2 linked regions of the Macaca mulatta genome follow. The protein of the gene in region 2 interacts with the protein of the main gene of each other region in a pairwise test. Links are inferred from orthologs where the notes say so. Each region holds a gene or a part of one and is shown on either strand. Other genes may lie near its edges.

The links. The genes of interacting proteins can lie anywhere in the genome.
Region 1: the proteins of GMCL1 (region 2) and PAX4 interact in a two-hybrid assay, tested with the Homo sapiens proteins (3 studies listed by BioGRID). The two-hybrid records come from large-scale screens. The link is inferred for Macaca mulatta from reciprocal best matches to the Homo sapiens genes GMCL1 and PAX4.

Annotation. Positions count from the first base shown.
Region 1 is NC_133408.1:167,465,587-167,471,533, reverse strand, and holds the start of PAX4 (paired box protein Pax-4), read left to right. Parts: upstream 1-2,082; 5' UTR 2,083-2,261; intron 2,262-2,819; 5' UTR 2,820-2,945; intron 2,946-4,190; 5' UTR 4,191-4,287; coding exon 4,288-4,300; exon of another isoform or gene 4,301-4,682; coding exon 4,683-4,813; intron 4,814-5,118; coding exon 5,119-5,334; intron 5,335-5,653; coding exon 5,654-5,729; intron 5,730-5,947.
Region 2 is NC_133418.1:54,921,588-54,927,478, forward strand, and holds the start of GMCL1 (germ cell-less protein-like 1), read right to left. Parts: upstream 3,993-5,891; 5' UTR 3,765-3,992; coding exon 3,505-3,764; intron 1-3,504. UniProt on the Homo sapiens protein: Possible function in spermatogenesis. Enhances the degradation of MDM2 and increases the amount of p53 probably by modulating the nucleocytoplasmic transport.

The DNA.
Region 1 (5,947 bases), on a different chromosome or scaffold from region 2:
CAGCCGCCTCTCCTGAGGACAGGACTTTCCCTACAGACACGGAACTTTCTACCAGGGACTCCTAAGGGCAGAAGAAGCCAGCGATCAGGGCTCTACATCAGGGCGAGGGAAAGGCTGGAATGGCCATGGCTGGCCCCGGAGAGGGGCGCACAGCCTGTTGGCGGGTGGCAAGACCTTTGAGTTAATGTATAATTGTGAGCAGATGGCGGGGGCTGGCGGCAGCCCGGGGCCTGGGCCCAGCTAATGAGGGACAATTAGCCCCAAACCCGGTGGGGGTAGTTGAGAGAGTCAGACAGTCAAGGCAGATATTTGCTCCTCAAACAGTCTAGCGCGCTGGGCAGAGGGCTGAGTGGCAGAGCCTTTGGGCTCGCTAGGCCCCCCTGCCAGGGCCCTTTACCACTTTTCCCTCCCCCATCACCTCTGGGTCGAAAGCCTCTGTTTGTTCAGACCCAAGAGCGCGTCATAAAGGCGGAGGGAGAGGGTAGTTTATGGGGTAAATCGCTGCCACCACCATCTGCCAGGGCTTGTCCCTGCTCCCCCTGATACCCCTATCTCCACCCTCATGCAGCTGTCTATAGGAATAGCCGGTCAGGACATGAGCCCGGAGCCCTTAGATGCAGGGGCAGATCTAGGGGGGAGGGATGAGGCAGGAATTGGGGACTAAGAGCAGGGCTACCACAGGTCTTCCTGGGGACCTCTTCCCACCCAGGCATGGCTAAGTAGAGTGACCAGCAGTCCCCAGCTGCCCGGGAATGGAATGGGCTGTAAGGACACTTGGGCAAATGCTGTCCTGCCCGAGGTCCTGAAATCACCCTCTGCAGTCTCCCCTGTACCCCAAGACCAGCCTGAGGATGCCGGAGGAGGGTGGAAGAGGAAGAGAGTATGTGTCAGGGTGAAGTGGAAAACTCACTTATGTGGTATTTGGCCTCTGAGAGCAAGAGTTCCCAACCTTAGGATCAAGCTGAATGCACAACAACCACTTTCATCCCTAGAACTTCAAAACATTTACCCATGAAATAAGTCTTCCATTCTTTGATTTCTGGGTCTAGTCCTATTGCCCTACACCCTGCTTACTTCCAGTCTGACTTTTGCAATGGCTTCAAAGACTCTGAGGTGTGGAATGGACCCAAAGACCATCTGCCCAAGACCCTGATGACTGGCAACAAAACTTCCATGCACTAGAGGCTGTGTTTCACTTCCAGCATCCCACTCCACAGGCACCACCTGCCCAGCTACCGATGCCTCTTGCCTCGCCAATGACCCAGATAACCTGTGGTGTCTTTTGTGGAAACAACAGTGCCATTACTAACTTAGAGTGTAAAAGCACCAAATCCCTAACAAAATGGAGTCTGATAACATCTAAAGAGGGAAGAAGGAAAACCCTGCTGCAAGTCTTCTTATAAACACCCATATGCATCTCTGACTATCCCGAGGCTCACTTCCACCACCACTACCATTGTCAGTGTTCTTAAGTCCAGGATCCTCCATTTCCAGGCAAGAATTCACCCTTGGTGTCACCTCAGTCAAGGAGTCAATTGGAGAATTGGTGAGGATACTCTCTGGGGACAGCTGGTGCTAAGCGACACACACTCTTCACACTCTTCTCCATTCACTCTCATTATCTCAGAGTGCTAGGAGCCAACTCAGTCAGTATTTAGGCAATAGTCTGTATACTCATTTATCTTTTATAGCAACACACATAACTCAGGAGTTGACCCCAAAGTGCAGGCACGTGCATTCTGGCTGGGAAGGTGTGTTGGTGTTTTGGGAAGGCATCTTTTGTTTCTGTACATTCAAAGCCTTAAGGACACAACCTGAAGTTCCCCATCTTCCATGCCCAGCATACCCTTCAGGAGTACTGGTGCTTGTGTGGGTGCACTTTTGCCTGCATGAGAATGGCTCTGTCCCTGCTTCAGGGTGGTAGGTGGACACAAAGTGGGCTCTGAGGATTCCCCATGGAAGGACACAGTGGGTCATTGGCTGTGGTTTGCCCTGCCTCAGGGCTGGTGTCAGTCAGCCCATGCACACCTCCCTCCTCCTCTCTCCTCTGCTCATGGCCTGTGACATCATTGGCTACTCCCAGAAGGCTGCCCTCTGCTCTTGAGCACGGGCTCTCTGTAGCTCTGGACCCCCTGGCAGGACTGAAGCAGGAGCAGAGTGGAGGCTGTGACCAAGACCAGACCATCACCACCCCTGAAGCCTGCAGGGGTCTCAGAAGTTGAGACTCCCACTGAAGCTCCCACCTCATTTCCTCCACAAAGGTAGTTCACCTGCAGGCTCATTGTCTGCCCTGCCCCTTATGCTGTCTCCATGCCTCTGTGTGGCCAAACCCAACTTCTCTCCCACTCTGTCTTTGTGGCTACCACCCTCCTGCCCCTTCCACCCGCTTTCCTGTTTTTCCATCTTGCAAGCACCAGTTATTTTTTCAGACATATTAGTATGAATGTTGGGAATGTGTGGTGTGGCTATTGGGAATGGGGTTTCTGTTTGTGAGTTGGGACATAATGATTTAGGTTTGAAGATTATTTAGGTGGATACTGAACCTGCATCCCTACTGCTCCTTTGAATTCTGGTCATGTAGGAGAACTGAATCCTATCAAGGATTTAGGGTTTGGCTGATATTTTGAGCTCCTTCACCTGTCTTGCCACAGCCCTTTACAGTCCCTGCTTGACTCTCCTCTCTCCATTGTTTTTGCGGCAATTGCACAAACATGAAGCAGGAGCGGGAGCAGAGAAAGAGAGCCCAGGATTAGGAGCCAGAAATTGTAGCCTCTGGTGAGGAACTGACTTCTGAACCTTGAGTTTTATTCTCTGGACAGCCCCTGACTTGTGGGAATGCCAATCTGTGCCTCAGGTTTCTCTTTGGAAAACCTCTGCCTTACTTCCCAACCTTTTGGAAAGATGAGAATCTGAAGGGGTCTGTGCCTCCACCTACCTAGAAACAAGTGAGTAAAAGCCAATTTAGCTACTGAACTTAATAAGTAGACTCTGGATTCCAAACTCCTTGTAATTCTTTGTTTCACCAGAGCTAGTCTCCTTTCTCCAGTTGCTCTGTAATCTGTTGGAGAGCAAAGACTTTACCCTTTTCTGTTTACTGCCTTCATCCTGAACAACCAGCAATGTGCTCATGCTTAATATCTTATTCAGCATATAACTGCAGATGAATTAACTGAGCCCAGATGGCACACTTATTACAAGAAAATTCTATGCATAAGTTGTTCCTTGGGGTGACCTCCAGCACTACCAGGGTTCCAGGCATGAAAGGAGGCATCTTCAACTCCCATTAATTACTGATGAAAGTAGAAGAGGTATGGTGGCCTGTGGGACCTGTGTCCCTTGCTGCTCAGAGACTCTCTTGGGCTCATGACGGTTTCTGTATTCATCAGCAGACAGTCCTCTCCTGCTTCCCATTCCCTTCAATATGTCTTTGGTAAATGTTAGTTGAATGAATGAGTGTCTGATACCATAAAGGTGGTCTCTGAAATTGAAGCTTCACTTTGAGATCTAGAACTCTTCCGAGTTAACAGGAATGAACAATCTCAGCAGGTTAGAGATGCTAAGAGATGTGCGTCCTAGGAGAAGCCGGCTCTTCAGGCATGTTCATCTCTATGCCCAGTGTGTAGGACGAGAGCCTCAATGCCTGGGGGGTAGAGCTGAGTCCCAGTTTCTTCAGAGCTTCCTGGAGAGTATAAAAAAACAGGAGCAAGTCTTTCTGAAGTGCAGCATTTGGCTGGGCATTTTGGAGAGCCCAAATGAGGACTGCCTAATAGTGAAGGTGGACCCCTGAACTTGAGGACCCCAGAATCTCTGGCTCAGGTGTGTCATCCAGGGCTGAGAAACTTAGCAGCAGTTGGAGACAACAGCTGTCCATTTGGAAAGGGGAAAGCTTGAGCCTTTGAAAGCATCATCCCTTTCTACCTCCCCAACCTTTTGTAATGAATGTGTGGGAAATGAGAACCCTCTCAATCCTCCCAGCCCCTTATCAGGACTTCAAGAAAGATCCAGTCCTCAGCCAACCTGCAGTGTTTTAGTTTTTATCACACAAAGGTTTAAATTAAAGGAATTAGAATTTTCTAATTTTAGCCAAGTCACTGGCAAATTTTAGAAACCTGACCCTCTATCACAAAACACTACCTCCCAGGACCATTTCAAGCAAAAGACCTCACCCAAATAACCCCCCGTTATTGCAGAGAGCCCCCAAGCTGAAAAAGGAGCTCCTAGAAGGAACTTCCCTTCCAAGGCTACTTTGCTGGAGTCTCATCCTTCCGAGGAGGGTCAGCCTGGAGCATGCAGCAGGACGGTGAGGAGCCTGGGGGAAGTGGGAAGACACGGAGGACGACAGAGACAGGGGAAGACCTCAGGGCTTTGCTTCCATCAACTGTTTCATCTGCCATTGGCCAATGTTCTGGAGAAGTTTTTTCCAGTCCCTCACTTCCTGCCCTGTCCTGCTTCCCTTAGATCAGGAGAGTCAGAGGTTATGGGCAAGGAACAAAGACTCACCCATGAGCCAGCTCTCAAAGAAAGTGGCTTGCGTTGACAGCCTGGGGGCAGCAAGGATGCAGTCTCCCAGGAGAGGATGCACTCAGCGTTGGGAAGCCAGGCTGGAGGGGCCTGAGTGACCCTCTCCGCATGTGGGCAGGGCAGTGGGAGGTGGTGTGTGGATACCTCTCTCTCACGCCCAGGGATCAGCAGCATGAACCAGCTTGGGGGGCTCTTTGTGAATGGCCGGCCCCTGCCTCTGGATACCCGGCAGCAGATTGTGCGGCTAGCAGTCCGTGGAATGCGGCCCTGTGATATCTCACGGAGCCTTAAGGTAATGGGCCAGCATCTTTACCCAGTGATGGGGACAGGAAGCAGGGAGAAAGGGCTCCTCTGAAGGCAAGAGCCTGGGGCTGTTGCAGGCTCTGAGGGCTTTTGGGACTTGGGTCACTTCCTGGCAGACCCTCTTGGAGGTTGAAAAGGGGAACTTCAGACCCTCAAAGGTGAGGCTGGACTCCCAACTCCATGGCCTGGTCCAGTAAGTCTTGGCTTTGTCTTGTAGCCTCCTCCTGTCCCAGGGACACTCTCCCTCCTTCTGCCCATTGTGCCTCACCTGTCCCTGCTTCTCACCTGACTCAGGTATCTAACGGCTGTGTGAGCAAGATCCTAGGGCGTTATTACCGCACGGGTGTCTTGGAGCCCAAGGGCATTGGGGGAAGCAAGCCACGGCTGGCTACACCCCCTGTGGTGGCTCGAATTGCCCAGCTGAAGGGTGAGTGTCCAGCTCTTTTTGCCTGGGAAATCCAACGCCAGCTTTGTGCTGAAGGGCTTTGCACCCAGGACAAGACTCCCAGCGTAAGTACCCTTCCCTTCCAACAATGGGGCTGGAAAACAGGCTTTCTGGGGAGACAAATAGCCTTTCTTATTTGGCAATGAGGGCATCCCAGGCTGGTGACAGGGCTCCTGGGCTCTTCTGACCCATACGTTTTTCTTTTGAAAAGTGGTGGTAATAAGATAATTGGGAAGGAGAAAGCATAGAGAGGGAGATGAGGCTGCCCTTAGGAACAATGTGTGGGTGGAGACAGACAGGAAAAAGGATATTAAGGGGAATGTCCTCAGGGTATAGCCCTGGGTCTGAGCACCATCTCTCCACTCAACACCCCGACACTCCTAGGTCTCCTCCATCAACCGAGTCCTGCGGGCGCTACAGGAGGACCAGGGACTACCGTGGACACAGCTCAGGTCACCAGGTGAGTCTTGGAGTTGTCCCCAGGGCTAATCAGAGCCGAATCTCCAACATTTTATGGTTCTCAAAGCCTTTTCTCGTTCTTTCTTGGATCATCTTCACAACAACCCAATAAGGAGGACCAGGCAGTGAGTCTTATTCTCTCCCAGCAGAAGAAAATTGACATCCAGAAAAGTGAAGTGACTTACCCAAGGTCACCAGCTAGTTGATGGCAGGCCCTGG
Region 2 (5,891 bases):
TTAGTGTTTTCTTATACCCTGCATCCGTACTGGGCTGAATAATCCAAGCATCTTCTAGTAATATACACACACTAAACTCTGATATGCATTTTCTGATAAAGGTTTGCTTTAAAAACTTTCCATTCCAGTCTACTTATGTAGTCTAGGAGTTGGTACACTTTTTCTGTAAAGGTCTAGATAGTTAATATCTTTGGCCTTCTGGGCCAAAAGGCTTCCAAATAATTTTGTTGGCATCCTAGTAGGCAGTGTCCTGCTTGCCAGCCTCAGCCTACCACACCTGAGCAAACTTTTCCACCATCCAGTGGGCTACAGCCACACCTCCTTCAACATCATCTGAATCTTAGCTTGGTAAAGGGTTGGGGGCACCTATTTTCCAAATTTGTTCCTTCTGTGGCTATTCTGCCTCAGCCTTAGAAGTACTGACTACTCCATGTATTTTCTAGAGATCTCTTTACCTTAGCATTTTGTCCTCAGTAGTTAATTCTCTGTGCCTTGTTAATAATGTTTATATTAAATTTCCTGTATTCAAATTGCTGTGTGATTTCTCTCCTTCAAACGCACTGTGATGTATATTTCAAGAATTACATTAAATATAAGTGGTCTAACTACTAATTGAAAGGTTAGATTGTCCTGTTGGATAAAAGAAGCAAGACTCAACTATATGCTGTTTACATGATATACATTTTAAATATACACAGGTAAAAAGTGAAAGGAGAGAAAATGAGATATTCAGATATTTATCAAAAGAAAGTGGCTGATGGATACACTACAATCCCAGACTTCACCACTACTCGTTATATGCATGTAAGAAACCTGCACCTGTACCCACTAAATATAAATAAATAAATAAATACATGTATGTGGTAGTGGCTAAATTACTAGGGATAAAGAAGGATGAACATTTTGTTGTGATAAAGGGGCCAATTCATCAAGGAGACATATTTACTGCATGCTTACATGCTAGACATTGTGCATTTGTTTGTTCTCATATTTGTCAAAGCCTAAAAGGCAGGTATTTATATCTCCAATTTACATATAAGGAAAATAAGGCTATTAAGTGCAGAATACAGACAAGAAGTCAGAATTTTTTTTTTTTTTTTGAGATGGAGTGTCACTTTGTCACCCAGACTGGAGTGCAGTTGTGCCACCTCGGCTCACTGCAACCTCGCCTCCCAGGTTCAAGCCATTCTTCTGCCTCAGCGTACCAAGTAGCTGGGATTACAGGCGCCCGCCACCACGCCTGGTTAATTTTTATATTTTTAGTAGAGACAGAGTTTCGCCATGTTGGCCAGGCTGGTTTTGAACTCCTGACCTCAGGTGATCTGTCTGCCTCAGTCTCCCAAAGTGCTGGGATTATAGGCATGAGCCACTGCGCCTGGCCAAGAACTCAGAATTTGAACTCTTAAAACTATGCCACAGGTTGGCAACGGTGGCTCACACCTGTAATCCCAACACTTTGGGAGGTCAAGGCAAGAGGATCACTTGAACCCAGGAGTTCAAGGCCAGCCTGGGTGGGCAACAGAGTGAGACCTTGTTTCTACAAATAAAAAAATTAGCTGGGTGTGGTGGTGCATGCCTGTGGTCTCAGCTACACAGAAGGCTGAGGTGGGAGAATTGCCTGAGTCTGTGAGGTCGAGGTGGAGTGAGCCATGATCCCACCACTGCATTCCAGCCTGGGCGACAGAGCGAGACCCTGTCTCAAAAAAGAAAAAAAATTTTCCAAAAAAAAAAAACTATGCTACACTGACTCTTCAAAAAGGTTACAGGGTCAGGCATGGTGGCTCACACCTGTAATCTGAGCACTTTGGGAGGCTGAGGTGGGAGGGTCGCTTCAGCCCAGGTGTTTGAGACCACCCTGGGCAATATAGTGAGACCCCTGTCTCTTTAGAAAAAAACTCCAAAAATCAAATAAACAACAAAAAAAGTTACTGAATAGTATTCACAGTAGGGGTCCATTTTTGTAAATAAATAAAAATATTCATTAAAAAAGGTACAAAAGGTTTTATAAACCAAACTATTGAGTTTTTAATCTATGATTCCTTTTTTACAATATGCAACACTTGTATAGCAAAACCTTTTTGAATCTGCTCATAAAGTTTAATTTTACGCTGGGTGCGCAGTGGCTCACGCCTATAATTCCAGCACTTTGGGAGGATGAGGCCAGCAGATCACCTGAGGTTGGGAGTTTGAGACAAGCTTGGCCAACATGATGAAACCTGTCTCTACTAAAAATAGAAAACATTAGCCAGGCATGGTGGTGCGTGTCTGTAGTCCCAGCTACTCGGGAGGCTGAGGCACAAGAATCGCTTGAACCAGGAAGTGGAGGTTGCAGTGAGTTGAGATCGCACCACTGCACTCCGGCCTGGGTGACAGAGCAAGGCTCTGTCTGAAAAATAAAAAAAGAAAAAGAGGCCGGGCACGGTGGCTCAAGCCTGTAATCCCAGCACTTTAGGAGGCCGAGATGGGCGGATCCCGAGGTCAGGAGATCGAGACCATCCTGGCTAACACGGTGAAACCCCGTCTCTACTAAAAAATACAAAAAACTAGCCAGGCGAGGTGGCGGGTGCCTGTAGTCCCAGCTACTCGGGAGGCTGAGGCAGGAGAATGGCGTAAACCCGGGAGGTGGAGCTTGCAGTGAGCTGAGATCCGGCCACTGCACCCCAGCCTGGGCGACAGAGCAAGACTCCGTCTCAAAAAAAAAAAAAAAAAAAGAAAAAAAGAAAAAGAAATCATTAAAAAAATTTCATCTGTGACCCTACCAAATCACCTTTAAAAACAAAAGCAGAAAAACCAAATTGTTTGTGTAAGAATATATTCTACCCATAAACTACATTCCAATTCCAGGTCACAAGTCAATATTCCATCTTTCAACTCATCAAAAAAAAAAAAAAAAAAAAACAGTTAAGCAAGCTGCAGCAGCACCGCCCTACATACAGTACATCCACGGTCAACGACATCAACTGCTAGAAACTTGCACAAACTCTGTTCCTGGTTAGGAACAAATGTACACTATTGATAAACTTCACCTTTACGATTAACGAGAACTCCTGTGTGCAATTATTTCCCCTCCACTGAGTGGGCGACAGTAAGAGTGCCCATTTCAGAGATTACATTTAGTGTCTGTACTAAAGCAACCGGATGCAAAACAACTTAGTCTGCGGCTACCCACTTGAGAGGGCAAAGGTGGACTGGTAAGGCCAGCCAGCCGGGCGTCTCTAAGGTTTAACGAGACGCGAGCTCGGGCTTGGCGTTTCTCATCCTCATCTTGGGGCTGTAACAACACCCTGGAAGCGTCTGTGGTTAAAAATGCAGAACACCAGGCGTCTCCCAAGGCGCTCCCCCGTCCGCCCGGCATCGGGCCGGCTTCCACATTCACTTGTCAAGGGCACGACCCCTCTTCATAGGCTGGGGAGCGCTGCACCCCGCAAGCGCACCGGGCGCCGGCTCGGCCCCAGGCCCAACAGGTGCGGGTCCGGGTCCGCGCGAGTGCGTGCCCCCACGTACCTTCGAGGGGTGTTGAGGAGCCGCTGCTGCTCGTCCCCCTCCTCCTCATCCTCATCCGTCTCCGAGTCAGGGTGACAGTAGCAGAAGGCCCCGCTGCTCCGCTTGCGCTTGTGGCTGCCCGGACAGTAACAGAAGCCGTGGCCCGCCGCATCGTCTCCAGTGTCCGGCCTCCGGGCCGAGCCCCCCGCCCTGGCACCCTGCGCCTGCTGGGCAAGGGCTCGTCTAGGCTGGCGCAGCACCCGGCTGCTCAACGATCCCATGGGTCACGGCTCCCCGAGACTTCAGGGAGCCCAGAGAAGGGGGTCTCCCGCCATGGCCCGGCCGCCGCCGCCAGCCTTCCCCGAGCGCAGATGCCTACACCGCCACCTTCTCACGCGCAGCCCCAACCGTTGCAGCGGACGCTACAGCCTCCATCCTCCGCCCCGCCCGCAGCTTCTGGTCGCTCCGCGCGCTAGCACCGCAGAACCTCGCCCCCTCGCTTTCGTAACAAAGCGCGCGCCGGCGGGCGCATGCGTGTGGCGAGCCTCCGGAAGGGGCGGGGCAAGGCAGGCGTGCGTGCGTGGCAGGTGGAGCCTGCGCACAACGCGGCGTGCTCGTACGGGCGGGTGTTTTCGGGCTTGCGGTGGGGCTGGCTTCCAACTAACGTGAACTTAGGCGTAGACGCAGTGTTAAGCCGTAGTTCACACACGCCTTTGTAGTGGCAAGACTTGGAACTTCAGTCGCGCATTCTTTCTACAAAGGTGCCTTGAGCCCCCGGTGCTTATGGGCCTGTGCTAAGCAAGTGGCAAAACCCCGAAGCTATTTGGTCTCCTTGCGGGAGCTCGGCGCTTGCTGGGGCCGCGCTCTGCTTTGTTGGGCGTGGCCTCCTGTGAGAGGGGCCCTAGGATGAGGCGCTATGCTGGATTCCTGGGCTTCCTTAACTGGAGCCCTACCCTGCTGTAGACGTGAAAGGAACCCGTTAAGTTATGGGAACGTTCCCGGCACTCCTTTTCTTTCCTATCAAGTGCCAGTGGGATGTCCGAATAGGGTCTGGCACCATGACTGTCCGTACTCAAAAAAGTGCCTTCAGGAGGCCCTAGCAAAATTGACAAGTGTCTGCCTGGAGGAGCTGCTCTTGTGATGGACTCCGGACAGCGAGCGTTCACTCCCTGACTCCCTTCTGTTACTTTTTAAGTAAAATAATAAAAATATTTCTCCTGTGGACCCACCACTAGCTTGAAATTTTATCATACTTGGTTTCATTCTTTTTTTCCTCTCCGCTTTATTGAGGTGTAATCAATGATTCATTCTTTTTAAATAGAACAATACAGATAGGCAGAAGCCCCTGTGTACCTCCTCCATCTCATTCTGTCTCCCTCCCCAGTGGCAATCACTGTGCTGAGAATGTTGTATATTATTATGTCCATGTATGTCCTTATATGCGTACCCATATTTTCTTTTGCATGTTTAGACATATCATGGAACGGAATCATAGCTGTACCTCTCACTGTGCACCTTTCTCCTCTCAAAATTATACTCTCGAGATTTGTCCATTTGGTCAATTGCTAGATAATTTTCACTGCTCATTGAATGACTGAACCATATTTGTTTTTACATTCCTTAGTAAGAGGTTATTTCTTTTTTTTTTTTTTTTTGAGACGGAGTCTCGCTCTGTCGCCCAGGCTGGAGTGCAGTGGCGCGATCTCGGCTCACTGCAAGCTCCGCCTCCCGGGTTCACGCCATTCTCCTGCCTCAGCCTCCCGAGTAGCTGGGACTACAGGCGCCCACAACCGCGCCCGGCTAATTTTTTGTATTTTTAGTAGAGACGGGGTTTCACCGTGGTCTCGATCTCCTGACCTTGTGATCCGCCCGCCTCGGCCTCCCAAAGCGCTGGGATTACAGGCGTGAGCCACCGCGCCCGGCCGTGAGAGGTTATTTCTACTTTAACGGCCTTACAGAGCAGCAATGAACATCATGTGCAATGGATTCGCCAAGCCGATTCCCAGAAGTGAATTTGCTGGGAAATTTGCAACTTTGTTAGCTATTACTAAATTGCTCTCTGGGTTGATTGCATCAATGTACCAATTTAGACTCCCATCGGCAGTATACGTAGGGCCCCAGTGGACTAATGTCTGATTCATGTATGAGAAATCTGAACTGAGAGAGGCTAGCCGAGGCAGCTTGGGGTGGAGGTGGGAGGCAGAGAATGATGGCTGCAGAGGGATCAGCTTGCATACACAGAATTTGCCAGCACAAAGAACGTGCAGGTGTTTCCCATGGAGCAGATGTGGACCACCATGAGATAGCTGGGATGGGATCATCTTGGGTCCTGCCCAACAGGTCTGGGAGGAAAGCAATGAACTTCAGCACTGAGAACCTCAAAGAGTCACCAAATTCCTAGAGGCTGA